2 linked regions of the Arabidopsis thaliana genome follow. The protein of the gene in region 2 interacts with the protein of the main gene of each other region in a pairwise test. Each region holds a gene or a part of one and is shown on either strand. Other genes may lie near its edges. The genes, in order: AT5G24100 and SAG29.

Region 1 (16,384 bases), 4.0 Mb from region 2:
CTTTATGGTTATTTGATATAACATTTCCAGTTAATTACTAGAGAAATCCGAATCTTATGGACATGGCATTGTTTTATCTAAAGCATTAGAGAGTAGAACTACATATTCATTGGTTAAGAGATAACTAATTAACTACTCTTTTATTATATCTTATGACAAAAGGCATAGATTAACTAGATAATTTTGTGAGCATGCATGTATAGAGACATTTAAGATATTCACACATCTGAAAATTTTCAAGAAACCTCTGTAGTTAACCATTGATGATAATTATATCAACTCACCGTCGCTTGTTGGAGCCGGAGCAGGAGCTGCGGATTGAGCATGTGCCATCGGCAACAAAATGGCGAAAATTATCGATACAATTGTAGAAACTCCGAAGAAAAGCCTCGAGCCCGACATTTCGATGTTTATTCCTCCTTCTTCAGTTCTTAAATTCTTTTGTTAAAGTTCTTCCCTCTCTCAACTCCTTGATTTTTGGGAGAAGGATTTTAGAGAGGGAAGAACAAAGAAGAGAGGAAAATGAAAAAGAAGAAATCAAAAGAAAAGCTAGGCAGAGCGATAGATGAGGTAATGAGAATAATGAGAGATTCTTTTGGCATTTTATTGAACAATTATTTTCTACTTTATGGTCGACCCGCATATCTCGGAACAACTCATTTTTGCCCCACAATAATTGATGCTTTTGGAAATGGAAATCGAAACTTGTGAATGTGAAAAAACTGCTATTGTTTCAAATTGTGTGTAGTCGAAAAGAGAGGTTATTAGGCTGTTTTTTAGCTTCTTGTGTCCAGCTTGGACACATTATTCTCCCTATTATTGCCATTAATCCAAAAACATAATTGTTCCTTTTTGTTTTCGGTAGTTGCATACTAATTTTAGAATTTATCACGGCCATGTAAATTCGTAATTATACCAATTTGTACTATTTTACCTTCATAATCTTAGATTTTGTGTTGTTAAAATTCATAATATATTTGTTTCAATAATACGAAACCACATTTGTTTTCATTTTTCAACATTATAAAAGATAAAATCCAAACTTCAACAAAACCATTTCAAAACCTACAAATAAATTCTATCAATAGAGTCAATGTTTAAATGTTCAAGATTATAAAACTTACGGAATTATATTAATGATTGAGTAATTAAGTCCTCCTATGCTACATCTAAATGCTAAACACCGTTTTAGTTTGTAAATTATCTAAATGTAAAGAAATGGAGCTAAAATTTATATATCTGCCACTGACATAATTATAAATCATAAATGCCAAAACCCGTAAAATAAAAATTCTACAATTTATTAATCAGTCTCTCTCAATCTCTTCCAAAGTCTCAACCACTTTCACCATATCCGGTCTCTTTGCCGGAACCATAGCCGTACAACTTGTTCCTAACTGCAACATCTGAAGCAACTTTGCTTCAACGTTAGGAGTTTTCACAAGCTCCAAATCAAACACTTCACCTGTCCATTGTTTTGAAATAACGTCATTCACCCATACCACTAGATCTATCCCTTCCTTTCTATCATCCATAATCGATCTTCCGGTTAGAGTCTCCAGCATCAATATTCCAAAACTGTATATGTCTGATTCTGGCGTAGATCTCCTCGTGTCGGTTACTTCTGGCGCACGGTAACGTAGTACCGATCTGGCTGATGAATCTGCCCTCACAACCGGGTTGGTTAACAGAGGTAAACCGGCTTCCGATATACACCCATATCCTTCCGAGTTCATGAAGACGTTAGAAGATTTGATGTTTCCATGTGCGAGGTTTTGTGTATGTATGTGACCTAATCCTTTTGCTACTCCGATCATGAATCTCAATCGCGTCTCCCAGTTCAACGGGACGTGACCCTCGTCTGCGTTCTTGCCTGCAGGGAAAAAAAAACTTTCTTCAGATGCAAGAAACCAATATTATCAAATAAGGTTTCAACTGTTTGTTTGCCTTTATATGTTATAGAAAGTATTGCCTTTGCAAAAATATGAAAAATGTAGAACGTACCATGAAGACGAAGAGAGAGACTGCCGTTAGAGTCATAATCATACACCATAAGCTTTTCTTCCTTGGAACACACGTAAGCTCTTAAGGGAGCAACGTTCTCGTGCTTAATGTTTCCTACAATCTCCATTTGATGTTTAAAATCCTTCCGGGACACTACTATGTCTTTCAACCGCTTAACAGCGATAACCTTGGAATCTTCTAGAACCGCCTTATACGTCATCCCAAAAACGCCCTTCCCTAGAAACTCTGCAGAAGCTATCAACAAGTCTTCCAAGTTAAAAGCCAGATTACTTCCTTCAAAGAACATTACTTTGTTAATTTCGCTCTTATCCTCCATGTCTTCAATATTCTTCTCTTTTCCTAATTTAGAAACTTCCTTCTCACTTGGCATCTTCTTAGCTAGTTTCAACTTATCTGGTTTTGGTTCTGTCTCTGACTTCCTCTGCCTTTTCACATAGCAAACGATTATCACAACCGCGATTACAAAGAATATCACGAAGCAAACGCTAATCGCTATCCCGAGAATCGCGGGTTCAGAGATATAGATGCCGTTTTTCTTTTGCTCTTTGAATGAAACTACCGCCGGAGGAGGGGCATTTTCGAAGACTAAGTTGTTGCCGGAAAAAGCCGAGTTCCCGAATCTTTTCAGAGAATTTGGGATTGATCCGGTGAGATTGTTGTTGGAAAAGTTAAGTCTGCGTAGACCGGGGAGATTAAGATCCGGAATCTCACCGGAGAATGAGTTTTTAGCTAGGTTAAGCGAGACGAGTCCGGTAAGATTAGCAAATCCCGCGGGAATACTACCGTTAAACCGGTTACTGTACAGATCAAGAACAGTGAGATTCGTCCACGTGGCGTAATCGGATGGTAATGGGCCAGAGAATCTGTTGTTCCCGAGACTAATTGCTTTGAGTTTCTTAAGCTGCAAGAAATCAATTGGGAACGGCCCTCGTAGGCCGTTGGATCGAAGACTGAGGATCTGAAGCTCCGATAGACGGCTGATAGTACCAGGTGGGATCACTCCTAGAAGACTTGCTCCGGGCAAGTGAAGGGCAGTGACACGTGTGCCGTCTATGTCGCATGTGACCCCTGGCCACGTGGTGCATACCGGGCTGCTTGTGTTCCACGCTAGAGACCGTGGGTGAATGATGTTGTTGAGGAAATCGAGAAGGGCTTGTCTGTCACCGGCTAGATCACCGGTGACCTGAGAATACAGAGCCGATGATCCAAAGAAGAGAAATAAAACAAAATAGAAGATGAAAGATCTTCCTCTACTCATCTTCTTACTAATTTCTCTGGTTATGTGATGGAGACTTTTATATCTGCATTAGATAATATTATTGTATGAGAAAATGTAGATTTTTAACGATTTTGCCAAGAAAAAGAAAAAATCATTCCTGTACTTTCCCCCAATATTATGGTCTTTTCATCATTTTGTTTATAATTTTATTTTCTCTTGTCAAATCAAGTGTATGCACTCTGAGACATGGTTCGAAACTAAAACTACACTTATTCATGCCTAAAATGACATTTGAATTAGAACATTCCAAAAGTTGAAGTCATCAAATGTATAAGCCAAACAGATTCTTCAGACGTAATTGCAAAGAAAGTGAAGATAAAATAAAAAATAACTTACAGTTCAAATGCGGAATCTCATTAAAGGACTGGCTGAAACTTTAGTTTAAATTGAGAAGAGAGAATGTAAGAGATAGTTATGAGAATTTAGAAAGAAGAGAAGATAGAAAGACCAAAGAAGTTTGGTCTGCAAAACTATAGGCAATAGCTATTGAAGAAGGAAGACATAAAAGATCATTGTTTAGGAAAGTCAAAACGCTAGTAAACGTTTAATTGGCGCATATCTGGTTCAAGGAGCTTCAGTGTTTCAGATTATTTGGAACTTGGTTTATTAAAAAATAAGAATACAATTAGTTGGGGCGTGATGGTGACAAATATTGGATGGAGGATTGTTATAACTTAGAAATCATTAAAGGGAATATGAGCTGTTGTATCATTTTCTTTCTTTCTTTTATTAACATTAAAACCCTCATATTTTTTAGTTTCTCAACTTTTACCACCAAAGCTAGTGTGAACCCTAAACAATATACGTAGTTTGAGACTTTGAAAAACATTGTGTATTAGTTAATGTGTAAAGGTTTTTAGAAGATAAAATAGTCGATTTTTCATATATCCAATTTTACAACGCAAATTTTTTTTCCTGTTGCCAAGAGTTTTTAAGGACATAAGCGAAATAAAAAAGGGAAAAATATCAAAAAAATCACGAACTTTTAAATTTGGGACGATTTAATCTTGAACTTCACGGAAGACAAATAAATCGTAAAGTTTTTGTTGACTTTCGAAATAAATGAGAAAGTGTTTGTTGACTTGCCATTTGAGTCATGTCGTTAAATAGGTTCAAAAAAAAAATTACAACGTTAATGACTCGTTTATTTGCTCTGTTAGAACAAAACAACGTCGTTTATTGCACAGACCAAACAACGTCGTTTTGTCTTGAAACAAATTTAAACCTTATATCCCCAAATCGATTTCATTATCTCGAAATCACAGACCCACCTTGACCTCAAAATCGCAGATAATAAAATCGAATTGGAGATTCAGGGTTTAAATTTGTTTTAACAGACAAAACGACGTTCTTTTGTCTCTCAATAAACGACGTCGTTTTGTTCTAACAGAGCATATACACGAGACATTAACGCCGTAAAATAATTCTGTTAACCTATTTAACGACATGACTCAAATGGGAAGTCAACAAAAGCTTTGTCATTTATTTCGAAAGTCAACAAAAACTTTACGATTTATTTGTCTTCCGTGAAGTTCAAGATTAAATCGTCCCAAATTTGAAAGTTCGTGATTTTTTTGACAATTTTCCCGTATAAAAAAATTCTATTAGTATTTTATAATAAATATCATATAAGAATATCTTTTAGTGCTTAAATATATTTTAATAAATAAAAACAGAACTAGAAGTCAAAATTAAACGATAAATTATTCTGTTATTGGTCAAATATATATTGAAACTTGATATATAAAATGGGATATTCAATATTGACATAACTATTTTCAGTTTTAAACATGTATAAAAAAAGAACTTTGGCAAAAATTTATTAAAACGAAGTTGCTAAAGGAGAAGAATCAATGTAGTGGAACAACAACATGCTCATGAGAAAAAATAAACACAAAATTAAATGATCAAAATTTTAATAAGAAAGATGGATGTTTTTTTTTTTTGGTAAAAGAAGATGGGTGGATTAATTTTGATTTAATGACGATCATTTAAGGTCAAGAACAAAAAAACATAACAAGCAATCTTACATATAAACAACATAACATTAAATATCTAATAAATATGCCTATGTAAATTTTATAAGAAAGTGAATGCCGTAGGCGAGTGTTTCTAATTCTATCAAATAGGCACGGCTCTTAGATATATTATGCATGAATTTGAATATTCACATATAACAATTTAAACATGAACCACGATGCGAAATGTCTTAACGCTAAAATTGCAATGCTTTTCCAACATAAAAATTAGGGGAGAAAGCAGAAAACTTTATTAAGATAAGGACCTTTTATGCTATATGAGCCTATATATGAGAGTATATTTAAAGTCTATATATGGTATGCACATGCAACTGCATGAATAATTTGTATATCTAGTGATTAATATAATATATTAAACTAAAACCATATCTTATGTGTTTTTGGCAATGTAACTTCACATGATCTGCGAGCATCTTACAATCATTGACGTAAAGTTTTTGCCTTGATTAATAGTTGTTGTTATATTTTACTAATATATGTTGTTTGCTGTGCTGTTGTGCATATACTATTATAGCTGCATGTGCGGCCAAGGAACGATGACGAACCATGATAAATGGGAAAATGATTGTTTACAACTTAATTTATTTTCTCCATTACAAACAAATTTATAGCTTTTTCTATTCCCAATTGCTTAACATAGCCGTCTCACAATTAGAGAAAGCGAAAACATTAATTATCCCAATACAATAATGAATATATTCAAACGCCGAAGGGAAATTGTCAAGAGTTGTTAAGGTTTTAAAAACCTTAAACTTCAATACAACCTTCACAGTTCACACCCTTAGAAAATGGTCCAGTTTTGGCCCAAATATTTAACAACATTTGGGTTACGAGTATTTGCCCTTTACAAATGGATCAACAATCTCCCTGGATCAATATTTAGTGGCCGGTTTCATGAATCAACATATTCTTTTTTTTTTTTTGTCTAAAGAATCAACATATTCTAAATCACCAAAACACTTTGGTCAACAATTTTCGACAATATATGGAAATTAGGTTGGATTATCATGCGACTTTTTTCTGATTAATTTTATGTATTTTTAATTTACGATGTAATTCGGACTACTAATTTGTATTATGATAACTTTACATTTTCCATACTACTCAAGTCCAAGTAAAATACTATTGTATATATATCTTTGGATTTTACATAAATTAATGGGGAGGCCTAATAAAATATACTCGGAGTATATCATTTGACTTTGAAATTTATCGAGTCAAATCAATGATTGTATTTTTGGTAAAAACAATTATTATGAAGACTTTGAAAGTTTTTAATGATTTTAATTTCAAAAATTAGTAAATGCTGGTCTGGTTATCCATCCATTGGAAGAGAAAATAAGACCTTTTCAAAGCTAGTTGATAAAAAAAGTTCTCGGTCCTATCCCTCATCTTATAAAGAAATTATTAATACGTTTAGGGATTCAATTCACAGAAGATTTAAAAACAAATGGAAAATAGGATATTACCATAATAATTATGGTTCAACAACAATTTCGATTTCTAATTTGAATAATGGAAATTTAGATCAAAAATAGTTCCGACTCATAGATAAATTGAAATGTGCCAAATGTCACGTAAACCAGCAAGAGGACAAAGTCAACACCACAAGAGACGACGACGAGCACAGTGTGAGGTTATGATATATACCCTCTGCGAGACTGCGACTGCTATTACTGATTTGATCCCAAGTTTTTTTTTTTTTTTTGAAATTTATTTTTTCTTTATACACAATTACATAGTGGTAAGAGATTCTAGATGGCTTCTTAATGTTTGAGATTTATATCTAGTTTAAGTAGGAAAGCTATATTATTTGAAGAAAGAAAAAAACAACCAATCAAAGTCATGCAATGTGTGTGAGAGACATTATAACATACATAGATAAGATATAAAAATTAAAGCAAACAAAAGTCATATTTTACTTCTTTTATAAAAAAAGAAGTTAAGCAATAACAAACAAACACATAACCACAAAGAAGACAAAACATCTTTAACCAAAAACATGACCAACATGACTCTTCGCAAGCATGTTATATACTTTCTTTTCTTCATAAGCTGCTCTCTTAGCAAACCCTCCGATGCATCCAGAGGTGGCATAGCCATCTATTGGGGCCAAAACGGAAACGAAGGTAACCTCTCTGCCACGTGTGCCACCGGCCGGTATGCTTACGTCAACGTCGCCTTTCTTGTGAAATTCGGAAATGGCCAAACACCGGAGCTCAACCTTGCCGGCCACTGCAACCCTGCGGCGAACACTTGCACCCATTTTGGCTCTCAGGTCAAAGATTGTCAGTCTCGTGGCATCAAGGTTGGTTCGTTCATTCACATACATCCGATCCTTTAGGTCTAGATGGTTTTTTTTCCGAGATAGAAAATAAATAGCTTTTGTTTTTATCTACTCAAATTTTGATTCTATAATTTAGTTAGCTACTTTGAAATGACATTTGTTTTGATACTTATGTCAAAATTGTTATAAGGTTATGTTGTCTCTCGGCGGCGGGATTGGAAACTACTCGATTGGGTCGAGGGAGGACGCAAAAGTTATCGCTGATTATCTGTGGAACAACTTCTTGGGAGGAAAATCATCATCACGTCCCTTAGGTGATGCTGTTCTAGATGGTATCGATTTCAATATCGAGCTTGGCTCTCCTCAACACTGGGATGATCTCGCCAGGTAGTAGTATAAATGTATAATTAAGAAAACATTTTGAATAAATGACAAATGTTGTCGTGACTGAAAAAGACTAGTTATCAAAAGAAGATGTTGAACACCACCAAACGATTTGGGTGACTAATTTATCTATTTTAGTTCCGGTCCAAAAAGATAACGAAATTCGAACTTTATATAGAAAAGTTTTGTTTAGGTGTTTAAATTCCTTCTTTGTGTTGACTTTTTTTTTTTGTGAAAATAACAAACTAAACTTCAAAAAAAAAAATGTGTACAGGACTCTCTCAAAGTTTAGCCACAGAGGAAGAAAAATATATCTAACAGGAGCTCCTCAATGTCCATTTCCAGACAGATTAATGGGAAGTGCTCTCAACACTAAACGTTTTGACTATGTTTGGATTCAATTCTACAATAATCCACCGTGTTCATACAGTTCAGGTAATACTCAAAACCTCTTCGATTCATGGAACAAGTGGACCACTTCAATCGCAGCCCAAAAATTCTTCTTGGGTCTACCGGCAGCTCCTGAAGCTGCCGGAAGTGGCTATATCCCACCAGATGTACTGACTTCACAGATTCTTCCGACTTTAAAGAAGTCTAGGAAGTATGGAGGTGTAATGCTTTGGTCTAAATTCTGGGATGATAAAAATGGATACAGTTCATCTATATTGGCTAGTGTGTGAAAAGAATCGTTATGGCCATTGTATGTGTATCAATTCTCTCGTATGTGTATCAATTCTCTCGTCTTTGGTTTCTGAAGAATTGTTGTGTGTGTGTGGTGTTAGTAGTCTAATTTAAATTGTTTGTATCAATATACTTAATCAACTTTGCTTTTTCAATATTTTTTTTTAATAAATTATGGATTCGCTTTTAGTATGAACTGATATAGATGTAGCTAGCTGCATGCAAGATTTGTTTTTTTTTTTACATGAAAGGTTTTTTTAGAGATACGATATCTACTTTGGAACTATATTTGAAATTGAAAATTATCGGAAGCGCAAAGAAACGAGATGAATCATGATTCAGAAGAAAAATAAACATATTGTAAGCACATAGAAGACTTCTGTCCACATCAGAAGGATGAAAAAAGATTTTTGACTAATACTCCTTCTGTATATTATATTTGATGTTTTAAGTTTTGGCAAACCGATATTATTTATTAACTATTTAAAACATAAGATTTAACTAATTGTAAAATTAATATGCAGAATATAAACTGTCAAAACCAATAAAAAAAAATCTATTTTAAAATAACTTTTTGTAATAAAAGATCAAGTAATAAACAGAGAGAATATATACTATATATATATATATATATCGTGTTCAAAAAAAAAAAATCATTATATATATTTAGACAAAGGATTAGTCTAAAATATCTAATCTAATTGAGCTATGAACGGTTTAACATGCATGCACTAGTTCATTTATTTGTTATTTGCTTCATAAACAAGGATTGATCCAAATAATCCCTTCAAAATGAGTATAGTCGTCAAATAACTCATTCAATCGATTTTTCTAATGGATCTAAAATGATGTACCATTTTGGCTAGCCAAATAAAAATAGTTTGATGATTTCATTTAATTTGTTGCCATCATTTAAACTTTTGAATATGAAAAGAGTATGTAGAGTAATAGTAATGGGGAACGCATAAACATTAGTTGATTTGTGCTGATTTATGTTGATTTATGCGACACTATATTATCTTACGTACCATGAACACACATTTCACAAATTATAGATCATATATTGGTGTGAAAAATAAAGTTAATTGTTACATCTTCGACTATAGCTGGAGTTTTCATCCTATTAAATATTAATAAAAAAATACAAAAAGGCACAAAACAGGTGCCGCCATATCCAATATATCCAACATCGTCAATTATTCAGAGCCGACCATTTACAAAAACGAAGACCTTTTGTGAAAATCTAGTTCAACCATAAAAACACGTGCCACAATCTCATTCTTCAGAGTTCTCCCACCGAACCATCTCTCTAAATGCGTTCAAATTATATAAGTGAGTGATATATAAAGATTACTAAACCACATGGTATACCGATTTTTTAGCCTCATTCTCTTTTGTTACAAGATTCTACTATGTCTTCATTTCATTTTTATTTTCCTTCTGTTGGTCTCTTCTCATTCTTTTGCTTCTTCTTAGTTAGCTTGGCCACTGAACCGCACATCGGTTTGGGTTCAAAGCTAAAAGCTAGTGAACCGAACCGGGCATGGGTTTCTGCTAACGGTACTTTTGCAATCGGGTTTACTCGGTTTAAGCCAACCGACCGATTCTTACTGAGCATTTGGTTCGCACAACTTCCTGGTGATCCAACCATCGTCTGGTCTCCCAACAGGTACACATAATCCTTTGATATTTAGTTATTGAAGCAATCTATATTAGTAGTAAATATATACAAATTTTATGTTAAGCTCAAATAATTTCTTTAGTACCAACGTTTGATTTCCCTATGATCAGAAATTTTCCACATTATTTTTACTCAAAAATATAAATATCTAAAATATAGAAACTCCCCAGTCACAAAAGAAGCCGTGTTGGAGCTAGAAGCCACGGGAAACCTCGTACTCTCCGACCAAAACACTGTCGTCTGGACCTCAAACACGTCAAACCATGGTGTTGAATCAGCGGTTATGTCCGAATCTGGAAACTTCCTCCTCCTTGGAACAGAAGTTACTGCTGGTCCAACCATTTGGCAAAGCTTTTCGCAACCTTCCGACACTCTCCTCCCAAACCAACCCTTAACCGTTTCCTTAGAACTAACCTCTAACCCTTCACCGTCGCGCCATGGCCATTACTCCCTGAAAATGCTGCAGCAACACACTTCACTTAGCCTCGGCCTAACCTACAACATCAATCTTGACCCTCACGCAAACTACTCGTACTGGTCCGGACCAGATATATCTAATGTTACAGGAGATGTTACCGCAGTTCTTGACGATACCGGAAGCTTCAAGATCGTTTATGGAGAATCCTCAATAGGAGCAGTGTACGTCTACAAGAACCCGGTAGATGATAACCGGAATTACAACAACAGTAGTAATTTAGGGTTAACAAAAAATCCGGTTCTGCGGAGATTGGTATTAGAGAACAACGGTAATCTCCGGTTATACCGATGGGACAACGACATGAACGGTTCAAGCCAATGGGTCCCTGAATGGGCAGCTGTATCAAACCCGTGTGACATAGCTGGGATTTGCGGTAACGGAGTTTGCAATTTGGACCGAACCAAGAAAAACGCTGACTGTTTATGTTTGCCCGGTTCGGTCAAACTTCCTGATCAAGAAAACGCTAAACTCTGTTCAGACAACTCATCTTTGGTCCAAGAATGTGAAAGCAACATTAATCGTAACGGTAGCTTCAAGATCTCGACGGTCCAAGAGACCAACTACTATTTTTCAGAACGTTCTGTCATCGAAAATATCAGCGATATCAGCAACGTGAGGAAATGCGGTGAGATGTGTTTGTCAGATTGCAAGTGTGTAGCTTCAGTTTATGGTTTAGATGATGAGAAGCCTTATTGTTGGATTTTAAAGAGTCTGAATTTTGGCGGGTTTCGAGATCCTGGCTCAACCCTTTTCGTGAAGACTAGAGCTAATGAATCTTATCCCTCAAATTCGAATAATAATGATTCTAAATCGCGTAAGAGCCACGGATTAAGACAAAAGGTTCTGGTGATTCCTATAGTTGTGGGGATGCTTGTGCTTGTGGCACTACTTGGGATGTTGTTATACTATAATTTAGATAGGAAGAGAACACTAAAGAGAGCCGCAAAGAACTCTCTTATCCTTTGTGACTCTCCTGTGAGTTTCACTTACCGCGATCTCCAGAACTGTACCAACAACTTCTCCCAACTTCTTGGATCAGGTCAGAATCAACAATCATCATATAACAAGTTTTAACTTAGAAGTGTTTCAAATCTTATTTTCTTTGTTTTATGATGTGGTAGGTGGATTTGGGACAGTATACAAAGGAACAGTAGCGGGTGAAACGCTAGTCGCGGTGAAGAGATTAGACAGAGCATTATCTCATGGCGAGAGAGAGTTCATCACTGAAGTCAATACCATTGGTTCAATGCATCACATGAACCTTGTTCGCTTGTGTGGTTACTGCTCGGAAGACTCACACCGGTATGACTTAGAAGACTTTTACAAAACATTTTACTCTGTTTTCAAGCAAACAGATTTGAATAAATGTTTTTTTGGTGACATTACAGGCTTCTAGTTTATGAGTACATGATAAATGGGTCGTTAGACAAATGGATATTCTCTTCAGAACAGACAGCTAATCTACTTGATTGGCGAACACGTTTTGAAATAGCGGTTGCGACTGCACAAGGAATCGCATATTTTCATGAGCAGTGTCGAAACAGGATTATACATTGCGACATTAAACCTGAAAACATCTTGTTGGATGATAATTTTTGTCCTAAGGTATCAGATTTTGGGCTAGCCAAGATGATGGGGAGAGAGCATTCGCATGTGGTTACGATGATTAGAGGGACGAGAGGGTATCTAGCGCCCGAATGGGTGAGTAACCGCCCGATCACGGTGAAGGCCGATGTGTATAGTTATGGAATGCTTCTTCTAGAGATCGTAGGTGGTAGGAGAAATCTTGATATGTCCTATGACGCTGAGGATTTCTTTTACCCTGGATGGGCCTACAAGGTAAATTTAGACGATTTCTAAAATATAAAGAAAGGGCTTAAATTAGTTATAAACATAAAGATTATAACGTCCTAACGAGTTTTTGAAAATAAATGAATAGGAACTAACGAATGGGACATCTTTGAAAGCTGTGGATAAAAGGCTACAAGGAGTAGCAGAGGAAGAAGAAGTAGTGAAGGCTCTTAAAGTGGCTTTCTGGTGCATACAAGACGAAGTATCGATGAGGCCGTCGATGGGTGAGGTGGTTAAGCTTTTAGAAGGCACTTCGGATGAGATAAATCTGCCACCGATGCCACAGACGATTCTAGAACTTATAGAGGAAGGATTGGAGGATGTGTATAGAGCGATGAGGAGAGAGTTCAATAATCAGCTTAGCTCTTTGACTGTTAATACAATCACAACCTCTCAGAGTTATCGTTCCTCCTCTCGGTCTCATGCTACTTGTAGTTATTCTTCAATGTCTCCTAGGTAGTTTTCTTTTCTTTTTTGCATCATTTTATTGTTTGAGATCATTTCTCTATTTCTAGGACTAATCAAAAATATGATATTTATGTATGTTTAAGTCTCTTACCACTAAACCAAATTAAAAAGTTAGAAGCTCATGTATGTTTGATGGACTTTTATTCAGACCAGCTCTGTACTTAACACATATCATAGATTGGACCAACTTACATGAACTTATTGGGTTTACGGAAAAAATGAGAAGAAATTAATACTCGTGACTTGTAAATGTTTTAAAAATTAGAAGTTCCATACTTAGAGAAGGCAAACGATTCTCTTATCTTAATCATCGGATCTTGCTCTAGCGGTATCTATCCCGCTAAAGACGGACTTGGGACAGTCAAATCCTATTTCATTTTGAATCATCAACTTCCATGAGAGCGTTTCTAGCGCTGGACGTCTTGAAAGATAGTACAATAGCCAACACAAAACGAAATTAATTTATTTTCATCTCCTATCTACTTTTAAAAACTTTTAACTTTTTTTTTATAATAAATTTTAAATATTTATAAAATAAATTTAAATTTTAAAACACTGAATAATACATTTGATTATGAGTATGATTGGAAGAAAAAGAAAAAAAGAGAGTATTGATTGATAAACAGTGTCGAAATTTGCTCTTCTATCCCAAAGCAATTGTGGTAGAGTTGAGTGGTTAAAGGTTCTCCTGTGGATCAAGAACATTGTTCCAATCTTCTGTAGATTGATTTTTTAAAATTTCATTTTAAGCTACAAAGTAGCTTAAACTAGAGATCAGGAATCTTACTGTTTTTAATCTACAAATATTTTTGTTCGGATCTTCTATCACAATTTGCAATGCTAACTCTGAATATCCTTGCACACAGGAGTTTTGAATTCAGTTTTTCACCTAAGGTAGAGAAAGGTCTAGTAGACCGTTGACCAAAAAAACAAAGAAACTAACATACAGTATATTGTTTAATCGAATCACCCCAGATATTTCTAATTTAAGAAAAATTACAAAATTAGTATTGGTAGTCTACTCTAAAATTCTTTAGGTCTATTAATACGCCTACATTAGGAAGAGAAAATGTCAGAAGGAATATCAGAATGTACCCATAATGCATACTAAAAATCCTATAAAGTTAAGTGCCTATGGCCTAATTTTCTCAAATATTTTAATATTTATATGATAAGAAATTCTTGTATTTAGTAGGGAAATACATTTTTTTTTTGTCTACACCTAATCCGTTAGCCCTGCCAGTATGAGGTATAGCAATATGTGGACCTTGCCACTAGACTATAAACCCTTCTCAGTGAAAAACCATTAAAACATTTTCTTTTATATATCCTAGTTAATTTTTGTTTTCTTTAAACTAGGGTTTTCGAGGACTAACTATGTAGGATAAGTATAGTTCATGAACAACTCACTCACTAGATTTCTAAATAGATCTGATGTGATATCATTTCGAGTGAAAAAGTGAAATTTTTCTAATGGATATTAAATCTAAAGGAAGCGAATTTCCATAATGTTACGTAATTTTTATGACTAGGTCAATACTACGAGTAATTTGTTTTCTAAACTTTTACCTTTTTAATACATATTTTATGACAAATGGACGTAATTAACTAACTAATACGGTGAGCGAAAGAAAAGGCAGCTGACGAAATTGAAAAGAAAGAAAACGAGTGAGAGATTGATTTATTTAATGCACAAGTTTAGTAGGTGATCTTTTAATATTTTAACGCATGTTGATATGAAAGTTGGAAAAAATAAACCATGTTGGCATGGAAAATTCAATAAAAGTAACATAGTTGTATTACAAAGTGACAGTTTACAGAAATTCCTGTGAAATGAAATACCAAGTTTTTTCCGATTAATTGACGCTTAAGAAAGGACAAGTTTTCAGCAATGCGTTGGCGTAGTATTGTTATTCATTCCTTAATTACTCTTACAGCTAGATTTTGGTATAAGGTTTTTGTTTTCTCGTATAGTGAATTAGCTTACTTATTTATACATCCATAACAAGAGCAAGCGAAATGTTTAATTATGAATATTTATCGCCGACCAGTTTGGCTCACAAAACGTTGATTGCAAATTTTAAAACATAAGTATAAATAAGAAAACTAATTTCAAAACTTAAGTATAAAAAACAGTTAAAACTAAAGTAATATAATTTGATTTGAAATTTCTTGATTTAGTTAGCATGATCTATTTTGAATTTTTTTTGAGTGGAATTGTAGACTATGCAAAGAGAGACAACTTTTATATGTATATGGAGATACACACTGTTATTGAGATAAACTTTTTTTGGGGTATGGAATACACACTGTTATAATAGTAAGCTTTATTTATTTATCTCTACAACTAAAATTAAATATTATTAGGTACAGGAGGAAAAGTGAAACTACAATGTAAAGGAATTCGAGTCAAACGGGTAAAGAAATAACCAACTAGGTCATACAAAATAGCAAAAACCACTAGGGCATATATACTTTAAATTCCTCAATATGTGTTCTACAATTTACATCAAAATTTGAATAGGGGTGACAACTACCCTCCCTAGTCACTACCTAAGTCCCCAAATGACTGCAACATTTATTATTATTTCAAAACTACCACATATTACAATGAGTCAAATATTTAAGATAGAGAACTTTTTTTTACTAATTTCTTTTTAATTTAATTAACTATTAACTAATAAGATATATATATTTGGTTAAATAACACATAATCTTAGCTAAATATATATGCTTTTGAATGTATTGATGAACTTCATATGTCATTTTACTATAATAACATCTAATTGTAAATGAAGAATATAAAAATATTAATGGGACTCACTTTCTAAAGTGTGATAACTTGAAATCTCTACAAACATATATAGTATTTTTGAAATTTAAGGAGGTATTTCATTACAATATTTTAAGTGTGAACTATTTGTGGTATACCAATTACCAAGCAACCCACATAATTAACACTAATAATCATAAATCCATAATTTGGAACGTGGAAGAACATCGTTTCATGTGAATCCGCGTTTGTCCTACACGCGCTTCCTTGTACTGTACATCAAACCGATCAAAGTCAGAACGTAATAATAGTTTTTTATATCGACATTACCGGTTCACTCACGTGGACTTGCCATGCAAGTCAAACCTTATATATAACTCTCATTATCGAGTACTAATCCATATCTTAATTCATTACATTCATTTTTCCCTCTATCTT
Region 2 (16,115 bases):
AAATCACGAAGCGTCTCGTACATGTCTAAGAACTTGAAAAGCTTCTCCGACGACCGTTTCGTCAGCACCACCGCACCGGAGAAATCAAGAAACCGGATTGTAACAGCGGAGACCAAACCGGTGAAAAGACGTTTACGGACAGAGGAATGATCTTGATCCGGAAAGACGGCGTTACAGAGAGAAAGCTCGCCGGGGAAAAGCACGGTGGAGCAACGGCGAACGATTGAGATCCACGAAGCGATTTCACCTTCGAGAGATTCCCAACCTATTCTCTGCACGTCTTCAACGTTGATCCCTTCGAATCCAACCTCGGTTAGCTCTTCCTTGAACGCGTGCCGTCTCGACATTTCGTATGACATACAACACTCTGCTTCGTAACCGGCGGAGATCATCGCTCCGGCGATCTTTTTCAACGTCGAGATCGATTCCGGTGAAAAATCATGGAAACTTTCTTCCTCTGCCTCCTCATGGTCTTGTAAAACGCATCGATCTGAATCATTTGTTGAAGAATTGTTGTGATCGGAATTGCTCCCGTCGTGGTGGTTGTTGTTGTTGTTGTTCTTCTTCTCCTCCTCTCTGGAACGATCTAGAAGATGACGAAACTCTTCGTCGAGAAGAGAAACAGCACGGTGTTGAACCGAACTCGCCCGGTTTAACCAAGAAGAAACCGGTGTTGAATCTAATTTAAGCTCTCTCAATCTCATAACCGATTTCGAAATCCGGTTAACGGCGTCGATGAATACAGAGTCCTCTGTTTCGTCCCGCCCAAGCCCGGAAGATTCCATTTTTGACACCAATGAATCCACCGCCTCCGGGAATGACTCCACCGCTGGTGAGATCTCTCCTAACGGATCTTTCTCGGAAGAAAGTGTTTGAATGAAATCGACGACGGCTTCCATCACCTCGACGAGGCTATGTTCGGAGGATTCCGATTGTGATTCCGGCGTCGATGAATGCAGTTCATCGGAATGTTGTTTATTCTCGTGATCTTCAGATTTGTGATCATGATTTTCCGATGATTCATTTGCGTGATGGTGATTTCCAGATTTCTCCATTTTTCGCCGGGAAAAATTTTAAAACCCTATCTAACTGTTTTTTTCTCTGTTTTTGTTTTTTTTTTGTCTTTTTTTTTTGGTGTTTTTGAGGAAATTAAGATGGGGAAAAAATGGGAAGAATGGAGGAGATTAGTGTGAGGATTATTCTTAATAATCCATTATTAGAGTTTCTTTCTTTCTTCTTCGAAGATACTAATTGTGAATTTTTCTTCTCTGTTTTAGTTATTATATATTTTCTCTTTTATTTCTGAGGTTCGTTTTTTTGGGTATCCATTGGCCGTTGACCGAGAAGGGAAAGGTTATGCGTCTCACGATCTCTCCAATTTTTTTTTAATTGTACTTTATATATTAAGGAATTAATCAAACTCAGCCTGATCAAACTTGAGGTTTATTTATAATGTGTTGGAAAAATTATGTAATATTATGATTCAGCAATTTAGTTTATATTTGGGCTTATGTCATATACTCTGTGATCCAAGGGTATATTGTGTGAGTCCAGGGCTGGAAGCCTAAAGCTAAATATATTTGATGAGGCCTTTGTCTGTTTCTTTCATGTTTGTTTTATAAAGTCTACTATGCTTTGCATATTTTAGCCAATGACCGGACTCACTTGTATGCTTCAAATCTGGATTTTGCTCTTTGTTCCACTAAAATCATGCAACAAACAAACAAACAAAATTGCTACACCAAAATTACTTCTTATGTTTTTCCGCAATTTAAGCAAATTGTGCATCTAAGTTTTAGTCAAACCAATCATGCATTTGACGAGCATGGTATAATCGTTGATTGAGGCTGACGATCAAGGATCTATGAAATATGTTTACACCATCATTTGATTGGTAAATGACACGTTATCTTAACCAGAGGTTGATTGATAATAGTTTGATTGATAGTTAATACTTTTGATTGATAATCAGTTAATGCTGATTGTCAATTCCTTTCTTTTTTAAATGACTATATAACTAAACTGATAAGCGCTGCTAAATATTTGGTTCTCGCGTATGAGACTATAAATAGCAATATCTAGCAAGACATGAAAATGCAAGCTATAGTTTCGTTCTCTGCTTCAAGACCAAAGCAAAGTTATCTTTTTGTAGTGTTGTGGTATAGAGTTTGCTAGAGAAAAAAGGGGATATATCCTGAGTTTTACAAGTCATGTTGTGCAATCAGGGGGAAAATTAATCCACTTGTACAATAGGTGAAGGTAAAAATTAAGTTTTGACTGAGAGAACCAAAAAGACTTATAGGAGATTATGAGTTCAAGTGTCAACACTATCATCACTTTAATTTTACAAGGGTAAATGAGTTTAAAACAATTGTTTGGTGATTAATGACAACATTTCTATGACCAAAAACTATTTATAGAAATTCAAAAAAAAAAATATATATATATACTCTCAAAAAGTTTTATAAAAAGAAACTGAAGAAATATGATTTTATGTAAAGTGATTAAAAATAAGTAATAAGTTTTTTTTACTAATTTTGTTATTTTGACAGCAGAAAGAAGATTTGTTTGCTTAAATTAACAAAAAGAAAAAGAAAAGAAGTTAATTTGCTTGTATTGAAGATAATCTCGTCAACGAGAAAAGTTTCGAAGGAAGGATTTACTGAGAGTTTCAGCAACGCGTCATTGTTAATTCGCAATTGGTAATAGTGTGAACACTCGTGGACGACAAAAGAAGCTGCTTCTTCATCTCTCTCTCTCTCCTTCTCTTTCTCTCTCAACTCCAATTCGTTTTTACCAGTTTCGAATCTGAACAAAGTTGGGTTTTTTATTGGTACCCAGAATCTCAATTCTCCTTCTTTCCTTCTGGGTATAGGAAAAGTCTCGCCTTTTTTTATATTTATCCAATCGCTCCTGTTCATTGATTCCCCAGTAGGATTGTAGTTTTTGGTTATTGGGAAAATTGAGTAAAGGAGGAGATGGGTTGTTTCTCGTGTTTTGATTCGAGTGATGACGAGAAGCTGAATCCAGTTGATGAATCTAATCATGGTCAGAAGAAACAATCACAACCGACAGTATCCAATAACATATCTGGACTCCCTTCAGGTTTTGATTTACTCATTTGTGCTTTTTTATGTTTTAATCCACTTTCGTTACATGCTCATAAGATCTGGTTATTTGATCCTCTGGTTAAGCTAACGGGACTTGATCTCAATCACTGTTACTTTGGTTTTATGAGCTTGTCAGATGTTTTTTTAAGCTATTGGGCATGTTCTGATTCAACTGTGTTTCTTGGTGAAAGTGTCATTCTTTGCTTCAATTTCACTTGTTTTGATCTGATTGGGAAGTCTCTAGCTTGTGCTCAGTGTAAATTTTGTGTCTTGAAAAGGAATCGAACCTTGTGAGGATCAGGATCACGTGATCCCTACTGAATTAGGATTAAGATCTTAGATTTGGTTATTTGGGGATTGTGCCTTGGAGACATTGATACAAGTTTTATGCTTTTAGGGTGATTTGTTATTGGAGTTTAAGTTGGCATGAGGTATGAGAAGGCTGTGAGTGGATGTGTTTGGTAAATTGATTGGTCTTGATCATGACGTTGCAGGTGGGGAGAAGCTTAGCTCAAAGACCAATGGAGGATCAAAAAGGGAGCTACTGCTTCCAAGGGATGGACTTGGACAAATTGCTGCTCATACATTTGCTTTCCGCGAGCTTGCTGCTGCAACTATGAACTTTCATCCTGACACTTTCTTAGGCGAAGGTGGATTTGGACGTGTCTACAAAGGAAGGCTTGACAGCACCGGTCAGGTATTTTTTGTTTCGTTTGAAGTTAAGTAAATTACATCGCATTCCTATTTCTACCATTGTTGTTATTCATTTTAGTGGGAGATTTTGCTTCATATATTGAATGAGTCTTATCTAATAAGTGTCACTTTAGGATTTTTTTTGTTTCATAAGGAGTTTCGTTTGTACGTTTCAAATGCTAAATTTTGGAGAGAATTCCAATTTTATGTGTAGTCTTGGTAAATGACAAGAGACATGCTTGAAATTGTTTCTTAATACGTGTGAAATTTCAAGAATGACGCTCTTTGTGAAGTGAGTGTAGGGTAAGGTCTTGATGTTCTCTTGGCCTTCAACATTTTTCTTGAATGATGAATATGCCAGGAAATGAATATGCAAGATACTGCTTGCCATCTTCCGGTTGTACATATGTTTACAGTGTTAAAAAGATGACTGACTTTTTAATTTTGTATATATGTTAACATGAATTCTGCATACTTGGTGAACAGTTTTACATTTATGTCTTTACTTTTGATCCATGTCACCTGTGTGTTTCAGATCACTTGTTTAGCTCGATGATTTCGCAATACATAATGTTGTACCTCTGATCTATTTTTTTTTCAATCATTTTCAGGTTGTTGCTGTTAAACAACTAGACAGGAATGGTCTACAAGGTAACAGAGAATTTCTGGTAGAGGTTCTTATGCTCAGTCTTCTTCATCATCCCAACTTAGTCAACCTTATTGGTTATTGTGCTGATGGAGATCAACGCCTCTTGGTCTACGAGTTTATGCCGTTAGGATCATTGGAAGATCACCTCCACGGTAAATCTCTCGCCAGCCCTTTTCTAATCTCTTACCATTTTATTAGACCTCAGAGATTCCTTGTGATCAACATCAATCCAAAGATTCTTTCTTATCTTAGTCAATGTCAACCCTAACTTTAACAGATTCTTCATTCATTTATTTATTTGTTATAATCATTACCTATAAATTATACATGTAGACTTAAGTTGAGAAGTAGTAGTTGCTTGTTTTCTTTGGCAGCCTCTAACAAATAATTTTTTCCAGATCTTCCACCGGATAAGGAGGCCTTAGATTGGAACATGAGAATGAAAATAGCTGCTGGTGCGGCGAAAGGATTGGAATTTCTACATGATAAGGCAAACCCTCCGGTTATTTATAGAGATTTTAAGTCATCAAATATTTTACTGGATGAGGGTTTCCACCCTAAGCTTTCTGATTTTGGACTTGCTAAACTCGGACCAACGGGAGACAAATCTCATGTCTCCACTAGAGTTATGGGAACTTATGGTTATTGTGCTCCCGAGTACGCAATGACGGGACAATTGACAGTAAAATCAGATGTCTACAGTTTTGGTGTGGTTTTTCTCGAGCTCATTACTGGTCGCAAAGCTATAGACAGCGAGATGCCTCATGGAGAGCAGAACCTGGTGGCTTGGGTAAATCAACTCGTCATCATCTTCCAATTGATTTGCCATTATTCTCGTATGCAAGAAGTCTTGAGAATTTTTTTGGTCCTAATAGTTAACATTTTGGTGGTAACAGGCTCGCCCATTGTTCAACGACAGGCGAAAGTTCATAAAACTGGCTGATCCAAGGTTAAAGGGGCGGTTTCCAACGCGTGCACTCTACCAAGCTTTAGCTGTGGCATCAATGTGCATCCAAGAACAGGCGGCTACACGTCCTCTCATAGCAGATGTTGTCACTGCACTCTCCTATCTTGCAAACCAAGCTTATGATCCAAGTAAAGATGATAGTAGAAGAAACCGGGATGAAAGAGGTGCAAGGTTAATAACAAGGAACGACGATGGAGGTGGCTCGGGAAGTAAATTCGATTTAGAAGGTTCAGAGAAAGAAGATTCACCGAGAGAGACAGCTCGGATATTGAACCGAGATATCAATAGGGAGCGTGCGGTTGCAGAGGCTAAGATGTGGGGAGAGAGTTTGAGGGAGAAACGAAGACAGAGCGAGCAGGGTACTTCAGAGAGCAACAGTACCGGGTAGAACCGGTTTGGGTCGGTCTTGACCCTTTTTTGTTCTTATTTCTCTCAAGACTCTCATTTATTGTCAAACATAGAAAACAAACAAAAAAACATTGGGACGACGAGTTGCTGTACATTATATATGTGATGTTGCAATATGGGCACAAAGGTTAATAACCAAAACTCTCTAATTGAGATTCTGGAGAGTTGTGAAGATTGTTCATGTAAATTTTGTAGTCTTTCTATTTTTAAATTTTGACAGATATGTGTTTCATGATGAGTCACATGTGGCGATGTTTACGTCTCATTGAAAGATTGAATAGCAAAGATCCAATATTAAGTGTTTCTGGACTCTATTCATGTGGTTCAGTAGTGTGGCTAATGTCCACAATCGCGGAGTTTCGGACAACGTGGGTCACATGCCCTCGCAATCTGACAATTATTTTAAGGATGGCTTATTCAGATTGTAAGATTTTAGTTGGTCTTATCAAGTTTTTGTCGGGACTTTTTTTTACTATTGACAGTGTACTGTGTAGTCTATTGAAATGGATGTCGAAACTTCCCGTATGTTTTAGTTTTGGTGAATATCATTTCTTGGCCTCTAAATACTCGGAGAATCTATTCTTTACTAGATAGTCCTAAATTTTAGAATTTTTTAAGTAAGAGGAAAAATTATTAACTAAAAACCTCTGTCTTTTTTTCCATCAAGAGACATACTAATTTTATAAATTACATAGCGTATCCTACACTGGCATGCGTAATTTGTCAAAATTCGCTATAATATATATGATTCTTTGTCGGATTTTGTCGTTACGGTTTAAAATGTAAGTTAGTTAACAAGTATATATATTTCATATTATTATTTCTTACGAGTTATTTATAGTTATATTAAAATATTTTGGGGTAATATAATCATAGGATGGTTATAATATTTGTAGATAACTAAGTAATCTTGTATATTTTGTTACGAATAAGCAAATAATATAGTGATTGTCACTTGGAAGTGTGAGATATGCTTGCAATACATTTTCATCAGACCATTGGGACGTCTTGACAATTTTTTATTCGTTTCCAAAACTGGACGGTGATGATTTTTTGTACACTTGAAAATTAGACTCTACAAAGAAAAACACAATTCGTTTAAAAAAGAATATAATCTGCTTTGGTTGTATATACTTGATGGGGACAGTTTAGATCACAAACTTATGTACATACTTTTTCTTCTGACTCATGAGTTTTATATATTTGTTAATTCTCAAAATCGTTAAACAGTATGTCGTCAATGGCACAAGACCATTCGTTATCTAACTGACGGCGACATCTTTAAGACAAATGTAATCAATCATAAAAAAAAAGGGTGGTCAACAAGCTTATTAGTTTTAACAAAAAAAAAGCTTATTAGTAGGAGTAATTAAGCTATTGAGGTTTATTATATCAAATTTTCCAAAGAGCACTAGTTACAACTTACACAAAGATAATATATTCAAATAAACACAAAACTTTATGCAAGTAGTACATCATCAATAAGATACGAAACAAAAATGGAAATTTAACAAACCACCCCGCCGATAATACAATTTCTTCCTTTGGCCGGCCCTGACGAGCCGAGAGAAAGAGAGTGAAAGAGAGAGAGAGAGAGAGCAATATTTTGAGCTTCACATATTGACACTTCAAACGGTTTCAGGACGAGTAGCCTCCACGTAGCACTTGCCGTTTTCAATTGACGGCTCCTCCACTTTAGTAACTTTGGACAGATCCTCATGATGAACGGCTTCAGAGAGTGGGTCCACCGATTCCGTCACAACTGGGTGCACTTCCGACACACCTAACGGACTCATCACGACAATACTCTTAAGTTGTTGTTCTGACGAATTAATCTTCTCTGGTTTCTCATTTGAGTTCCTGTAAACCAAGTACAAAACCATTTGCAACAGCCCTAGTACGAATCCCACCACGTTTGGAATCTACAAAATATCATCAAAGCCATACAAAATAGGTCAGTTATAACCTTTTTACCGAATATTTAAAAAATTTAGCAAACGGTAAAAATAAATAATAATATAGATGCTTAATTGCTTACCGCTATGCATATGTCATTGAGGAATAAACCATAAGCGAACCACATAACGGCGCTTATAGTGAGGAAGAAAGAAAGCGTGAAGGGCATGTACTCCACACTCTTTGTCTTTATCACACGAGCCTATTCACATCAAGAATTTATATTTAACATTTTATTTCAAAATATAATGTTCTAGAAATAAATTTACAAATTAAATTAAATAACGCTAGCTTACCACGATCATTAGAGGGGCAGCGAAAACAGAAACAGAAATGGCAACACAAATCCAGCCGAGTACAGAGACTTGGAGGGGAGGAGTTTTAACCACGAAATGTGTTACCATTAGAATCAACGAGAAGAAGGCAACGTTCATTGCTATGAACAACTTCATAGCCGATATCTGCCAAAAACGCATATTATTCATTTAATATTCGTATTTAATTACATAGCGGAATTAAGGAGGAGGAGAGGGGAATAATTTTACCCTTTTCTCCCTGGTGGCGTAAGCGAAGAACATGGCTATGTAGAGAGTCTCCACGACGCAGCCAAAGGAGTTGATGGTAATTAGGAGAAAAGCGTCTTTCTTAATCAATGCGTAGTAGAGCCATAGCATGCAGCTAAATAGCGACACTTGGTACGGTAGCGACTGGAAACTTTCCGTCGATTTTCTCTTGTATATTCTATAAAAAGTTGGCCTGAATATTTTGAAAAACGAAATCATCAGAATCATTCTCAAAACTAACAAATAAATAAAATGAAATAAAAAAAAGTAAATTGAATCTACTTACACTGGAGCGAGGAATACAAGGAAGGATATCACGTTTCCTGTAATTCCATGTAAAAATAAAAAAATGAGTCAATTGTATAATTAAGAGGCTTCTAGTTTTGTGGAAACATAAGTACATATGAATCAGTACGGGTTCTCTAACCAACCTCAGCGGGGAATTAAATTGTGCATTAACCACTATACACGTATTGAGTATGATATAACATGGACAACAATGCGTGACGATTTCAATTTAATTAATAGCTTACGTATTGATTTATTTTTTGGTAGTTTGGGATTTAACTAAAGAATTAGAAGATCATTTATAATCCCAAATGACTTAGTTTAGTTAATGAAGAAAAAACTTGAAACTTGTTAGGTGAGTCATGATGAACACTACAGAATTTCAATTCATTTCTTAGTACTCTGTTGTTTAATTAACTCTAAGCTAGAACTACAATGGAACCCTACACATAGTATATATTGTTTTGAAAACAGAAGCTTAGATGTAAAGTTGCAACATTATAGTTGCTGTTGCAAATTCCTTTTGTTAACAAGTAAAAAACATAAGAATAACAGTAAAGACAAGAGATGATGAACAAACTAGGATTTGGCTTTGTGGATTTATCATTACCTAAGATGCCGAAGATAAAAGCGAGGAAATGGTGATTGATCATGACTCCCATTTTCTATAGCAATTGAGAAAACTTTCCTGTTAGGAGATTTCTAAAGGGTCTCTTTTTTTTTTTTTTTGAAACCCTAAAGCTTTCTCTCTCTTTCTCTATATGTCTCTCTCTAGAAGATGCTTCTTTTTATTTCATGGAGGAAACTGAGGAGGCTCAGGTGGTTTATATATAGCTCCAAAATAACCATTGTAGTCAAAATATTTTGATTTTAATGTTTAGAGTTTATTAGAAGCGTGTAACGTGTTGAGTAGAATAAAAAACAAAAAAATAAGACTCGAAAAGGAAAACGAACTCAGTCTGGTTGCATGACAAGTGGAGATATTAGTAGGTAGCGTTTGCATTTTATCATTCACTCAATCTTACTTCTTTCCTCCACTACTCTCATCTCGTACGCGCGTCGTCTATTACGATTTCATTTTCTTCACGCCTTCTTTTTAATTAGCTTTCATAAATCACATTTAGTACCACAGTTTTGTACTTTATAGACGATAGATAAATATCATGGTGACCAAAAGTCTACCCAACATCAACCTATATAGAGGAAATCATCACTAGATTACATTACGATTTGTACATTTTCTTTAGGCTTTATCGCCCTCTCTTTATTTTTAATCTACATATATATGAACTGGAATCCAAAATATCCCACGTATCTATTCAATGTACATAATAATTATAGACACTGTTTTCAAAAATGTAGGATAATTAATTTCATTGACTATATTTTCAAGTATGATTACAATGAATTTAATTGTTTTGTCTGTATTCTCGTTACACAAATATATACTATGACTTAAATGAGAGGGGTGGGACTGGTTTCATCTATATTGGTTTTTGTAAAGGAGTCTAGGTGAGAATGATTAAAGATCTAACATAGCTAGAAATATACGTGTGATGGCTAGATTAAACCAACACATTTATAGGTAGCACAAAAAAGTACCAGTAAAGATATTTCTTTGCAGAAAATTGACGCCGTTCTCTATATAATTATTGGCATTTGCAATGATTAACCAAAGTAGGAATGAAACCATTCACATCTCCTGGTCCAGTTTCTCATTTCTCTCTAACTCTTGTCTAGAGGTACACGTTTTTTTTTTTCCTTGTACAAAAAGAAAACGTTAACAATCATGCATGTTTTGAGCAAAAACTCCACGCGTCGAAACGGAGCGTCGCGCGTGAGAATAAATTAAGGTAAATTAAACGAAAAAAATGATGCGTTACGAGAGAGAGTCGTGATTAATAATACGATAATAATAGCATGAAAACGAAAAATTTGTGCAAATCACGTGACCTCTCCAAACGCTTCCACTTATAGCCGTTTCTTTAGAGTTTGTAGAGACACACACACACGAGAGCTATGCCACGTCATCAGATGCTGACTAGGCAACACCCTCTCTTTGGTTTCGTGTCTTTAGAGTATTTTCTGTTTCTTGCTCTTCGTCTCCTGTTTTAATCCCTATTTTCAGGATTTCTTATATTAGTATATTAAATAACAATTAGTCCTTTTTGTTGATTCCAGTTATATATAATTTTCTAAAATGTTTATAAACTTTTTCTCGTTAATTTTTTGAAATAAGGATGCATGTATAATGATCTAGTTATGCAGTAATATGCATATTATTCAGAGATTGGTTGAATATTACATTTTCTTTTGTTACGTTTGTTTCTATAGTTATGAGGAAAGGAATCTGAATATTTTGGAGAAAAGGTTGAGAAAATTACGAAACAATTCTCCATTTTTCGAGGGTAAGTTAAAACAGATATTAAAAGTGGGAAGAAATGGACAAAAGAGGAGTGACGTGGTAGGCTAATGATAACAATGATCATGGGTTTGTTAAATCCTTCTTGTTCTTATTCGTGAGTATTTGTTTCTCTCTCTCCCTCTTTCTTTTATTTGGTCCATAATAATTTAAAATATGAGAGGTGCCACTTTTGTGGTTCTCCTCCACCTTAATTTCCCCATCTCTAATTACTATTGAAGCAACTTTGGTTTCTCTTAAAAATTTTGATTGATTGGTGCCTAATATAGTTTTGGTTCATCGTACGATCCATACGGTGTATGCAAATTTGCAATCACATTCCCCTGACTTCTTTATATTATTTACTATAAATATATCCATGGACATTTATAGTAATATGTATACAGTAGTCATGAACAATAGATATTCATAATTCACTAGCAATATTGCATCACATCACAATTTCTCGTTTATATTTTGACATTTCTCATCGAATAAAATTTCTGTAACCCATATATGAAATGTTTTTTCGTTTTTAATGGATGATGCTTTAAATGAATTATGTGGAAAATCAACCCAAATACAACAAACATCGGCTGATCAAACCCCAATAATATAGGCATCTAGGTGACCCACATTGATATATGATGGATGCATATAAATTTGTGTATGTTGCTACCACATAAAGGAAAAATGACAATCATGTGGGTGAAATTAAACCTCCCCCGATCCTATCGTTTTCTGATTTCAATCGGTTATACGAATCTAGCTTTACACACACATACATTTATCTAGCTATGCTACATATAGCTTTCAATGATAGATACCTATCTATGATTTGTTAGCGAATTAATTAATGTTTACCAAATAAATACTACTATGTCATTATGATCGGTCTATTGAATCTATATTAGCCAGAATACCATAAATTGTGTATGTATTAAACCATGTTGTTCAAAATAATTACTCAAATAAATTTCTTTTCAATCATACATATTTATAAGAATTATTACAGCGTTGTGATAATTAAAATAAATGTAATGGGATGGTTGATATCATCACCTTATTCACATATGGCCAAAGTGCTAAACTATTTTTCTGACAGAAATATACTACGTGTATCACTTCTAGAGAAATTTCAATCATACATGAAAATTAACAATAACATTTCTCGAGAGATAATTTTGAATTGTTAAAAAACTTGATGAAAATTAATTACTTAAATATAAGTTTTAAAATTTTCTAGTACATATATTAAGACAAACTTGCATGTATAAAGTACGCCTTTTGCCGTCTACGTTATCATTTTCTCAGTAACCAAACAACATATTTTGATGCAAGATTACAAACCTTAGTCGCTGAAGTTAGTGGACACATATATTAATAACCATAAATGATAAGTAGATGAAATTAATTTAATCAAACGGATGTTCCTTAGACGAATCGGTCTTCTGCCTCGAGAATGGGTCAAGAACACAAGATATTTTGAGAATGTGTCGTTCACATAAATAAACTATGGTCCAACAAATTAAATATGGAGGGAATGAAAGTAAATGACGATATATGAAAGCAATATAGTAAAGGATGAAGAAAGCTAATGTAAGTTGGTTGAAGAGCGATTATATCTCCTAGAACTCTTTTTTGTCCTTTTCAATGTTCTCATCAATTAATCATCCCTTCTTAATAGAATCAATCAAACAGACCCATTCTCAGGTTCCTACATTTAATAACGACCTCTTATTGGACACCATCCTTTTATGGACTTATATGCAATAAAAATAATTATAAGTTGCAATTACCATACGTGAATAAAATATATGTGTGATTGCAAATTTTCAATAGAAACAGAAGTAAACCAATATGTGATAACTCGAACCAGATTGAACTTAATTAAAATAAAAATATACTATTTGATTCCTAAACTTTAATAAAAAATTTAGATCAGCTTTTTTACAAAAACTTAAATTTTACTAAGGCTACCTTAGTAAAATAAGCAAAGTAAGGCTAATATAGAGTAGATCGGCATTTTTTACAACAGAAACAATAACTGTTAATTGCGGATATATACTATTTAAAAAAAACCCCAGCATATTCGTTCTGGAGAAACAAAAAAAAAACGATAGGTAAAATAGGCCAAAATATGCGTTTATATATTAATCACATAATTGTCACCAAAAGAAAAAGTTAATGCCAATTTTGTTGTATTTGTTATTTCTCAATATATATTTTTAATGAAAAAACGTATGTCTTTTATATATATATATATAGTGGTTTGCATGGAAAAATACACATTTTCTTTTTCTGAGAATAGCAATTTCCCTAGTCTCAATCGTATGGAATGTGCTTTTGATGTATCCATGCAGCCAATTTGGGACGTCTCTTTTCTTTCATATATTGGGTTTCGGCGTTCGTTTTTTTTATTTCAAAAGAGGTACCATTTTATATGTATGATAACTCAAGCAAATACAGATTTGATTAGAGTACTAGATACCTATTTAGAGCAAACACTCATTTTACAAGGAGCACTTAAAATAGGTATTGTTCTTTCATATACGAATACGATGATATTCGTATCTTTCCAAACTTGTGTTTCCCATTGGATACAGGTCTCGATACTTTCCGAGTGTGTGATTTTCGTGGAGTTGCTGGTATTCCTTTCATGAGATTTTATTCGCATGAAATAGTTTTGACTACGAAAAATTATGTTCATATCTTTTGTAATGGCGAAAAATTGTATTCATTATAATTTATAACAACAAAATAATATATACCTAATTACCTATACTGTATATTGATACAAATGAAATATTCAAGGTATAGACCGTAGAGTCACGCTCAAATCAAAATAAGGAAATGACTATACCAGAAACAGAATTAATGACTCAAAAGTTTTAAGGGCCCAAAAGGCGTGGCGTTCTATAGTGTTTGATTAGAACTTGATTCATATTTAGTATGTTTCAGATACAAAGAAATGTGGTCTAGTGGTCAGAACATTCCACACGTAGCCATATAATTATTGTCTTCTGGATACACCTAGAAGTACAAACGACATCTCCTTTCCAAAAACCCCATCTCTATGTTTTCTTTTTGTTAAAATAAATGGTTTTCTCCGTTTAAAAACAAAAGAAAATCTATACACTAGTTCTCCAGAAAAAAATAAGTGAGAAAATGAGAGAAGAAGAAAACGTGAATTCTTTTTTTCTTAAGAGCGTTCATTTTTACGTACAAAGAGAGAACATTGTGTCCTTCAAAAAAAAAAAAAACATATTACAGCGGCATTATAAATTTTCTTTATACACATAATATTAATATTCATTTGCATGTTTTCACTTTTTATGGGATTTTTTCCAAATAATATAATTAACCCCTAAAAGATCATGTGCCAATCTACCTATTTTTTATTATTATATATCACTCTACATTTCACTTTGGGATTACGGATTAATAGTTGATTACATGTTATCTGTTACCGCAAAGTCAGTTTCTTAATAAAATTTATCAAACAGTATTGAAATCGCAATAGCTTTTTTTTTTTTGGTTCATTTTTAAAAAATCGCAAAGAGATTCATCTCTACCAAAACATAGTTCTGTTGCATGAAACTATATACTGTATAGGTAATTAGCAGTGAATAATACATAATCATTTTTGGTAAACCTATTTCGTTTATCCTATAAAAGAAATATTAGCAGTGAATAATAATACTATGAAAAATGAGTACAGTGGATTGATGGCCAAAAGATTAGGTTGCTAGTTGATACTTGATACGATTGGTATTTGTAGTTGTATATGACTTGAGGAATACGTATTTGTATGGTAGAGAAGTGGAAGAAAGTACCCAAAATACAATTTGAAGATCGATGCATTGAACGTTTACACATCTCATTCCTTTTCAAGTAAAGGCAATGGCAGGTTTTCTGCTTTTTGGACGTTTCTGTGACGTGGCAATACGTGGGGACTCTTTTATTCTTATTTTGTGTTTTCTTTCGTGAACGTATTTGTTTGCCTTACTTTTGAATTCCAACTAATTAATTGTCGTGTTCAAGTCATTGAGCATTCCAATTAATGGCGTCATTAGGAAATTTGTAATAATCAGTTACTAATGCGTACTATTGATTTGTCATATCTTCACATTCATAAAGACTTCCTAAGATCCTTAAGGCTTAACAGCGTAATGAGATCTAATCTTCTTCTTTTTGTGAACCAATGAGAACGAATCTTAACGTTAGATGTTCTACGTCAATTTCATTGCACATATAATTATTTGTCAACACACACACATATTTTGTTTTATTCCGTGGTCTCATCATTTTACTTTAACTGTATTGCCAATCAAAATGCAAGTAGCCATGCATTAATGATAATAATGTATTTATCTTTAAAAGGAAAAAAAACTTAGACTTGATCAATCACAAATTTCCGAAGTTACATGTAAATGAATGATTGGCGTGGCGATAAGGCAAGGATTGTGAGACGACATCTAAACCCAAGACATGGACCACATAAAGCTTATATATATATCATTTCAAATTGTTTGAAATGATGAGCTGGCTGCTTTTTTTCCCAAGTTAGTGTCGTCGAATATACCAAATGTGTCTTATCGAAAAGAGAAAACCAGCTTATTTCATCCAAACATCCCAAACAAAGAAACATTTGTTCTTAACCTTGATTATTAATTTGAACCACAATAAAATGGCTTAGAGGTACGGCATCGTCATTAAAAATAGTTGATTTACTCACAAACAAAATCGTACTACAATTAAGGACAGCTTGGGCAAGTCACTTAGACCAAATAATTAAATCCCTTTTTTTGGGTAAAATCATTACTTGTTTACGGAAGTATTCACGTGACATTTATTTTCAAGATATCTTAATAATACAAATAAAGAAATTATCAGACCATAGCATTTACAGAGCTATAGACCCGTGGAGTTCGAAGGAGACAATCAAATCATTCACAGACTAATCGATGGCAATGCGGAGAATCTACGACTCTACTGTTACATGACGGACATCCAACAATGGAAAACAGCATTTACAGGAATAAAGACTAACTGTCAACACCTATGTGCGGATTTCTTA

The links.
Region 1: the proteins of SAG29 (region 2) and AT5G24100 interact in a protein complementation assay, tested with the Arabidopsis thaliana proteins (one large-scale study listed by BioGRID).

Annotation. Positions count from the first base shown.
Region 1 is NC_003076.8:8,136,115-8,152,498, reverse strand, and holds AT5G24100 (Leucine-rich repeat protein kinase family protein), read right to left. Parts: upstream 3,956-16,384; 5' UTR 3,641-3,955; intron 3,327-3,640; 5' UTR 3,284-3,326; coding exon 2,005-3,283; intron 1,874-2,004; coding exon 1,308-1,873; 3' UTR 1,114-1,307; downstream 1-1,113. Other genes in the region: AGP41 (arabinogalactan protein 41), read right to left, coding at 285-402; CHIA (chitinase A), read left to right, coding at 7,346-7,651, 7,821-8,017, 8,289-8,694; AT5G24080 (Protein kinase superfamily protein), read left to right, coding at 10,108-10,364, 10,536-11,893, 11,976-12,156, 12,243-12,693, 12,794-13,165.
Region 2 is NC_003076.8:4,173,876-4,189,990, forward strand, and holds SAG29 (senescence-associated gene 29), read right to left. Parts: upstream 9,480-16,115; 5' UTR 9,297-9,479; coding exon 9,245-9,296; intron 8,670-9,244; coding exon 8,633-8,669; intron 8,540-8,632; coding exon 8,329-8,539; intron 8,245-8,328; coding exon 8,080-8,244; intron 7,986-8,079; coding exon 7,866-7,985; intron 7,750-7,865; coding exon 7,456-7,749; 3' UTR 7,167-7,455; downstream 1-7,166. Other genes in the region: EXO70C1 (exocyst subunit exo70 family protein C1), read right to left, coding at 1-1,055; PBS1 (Protein kinase superfamily protein), read left to right, coding at 2,979-3,105, 3,605-3,807, 4,415-4,604, 4,851-5,242, 5,349-5,807.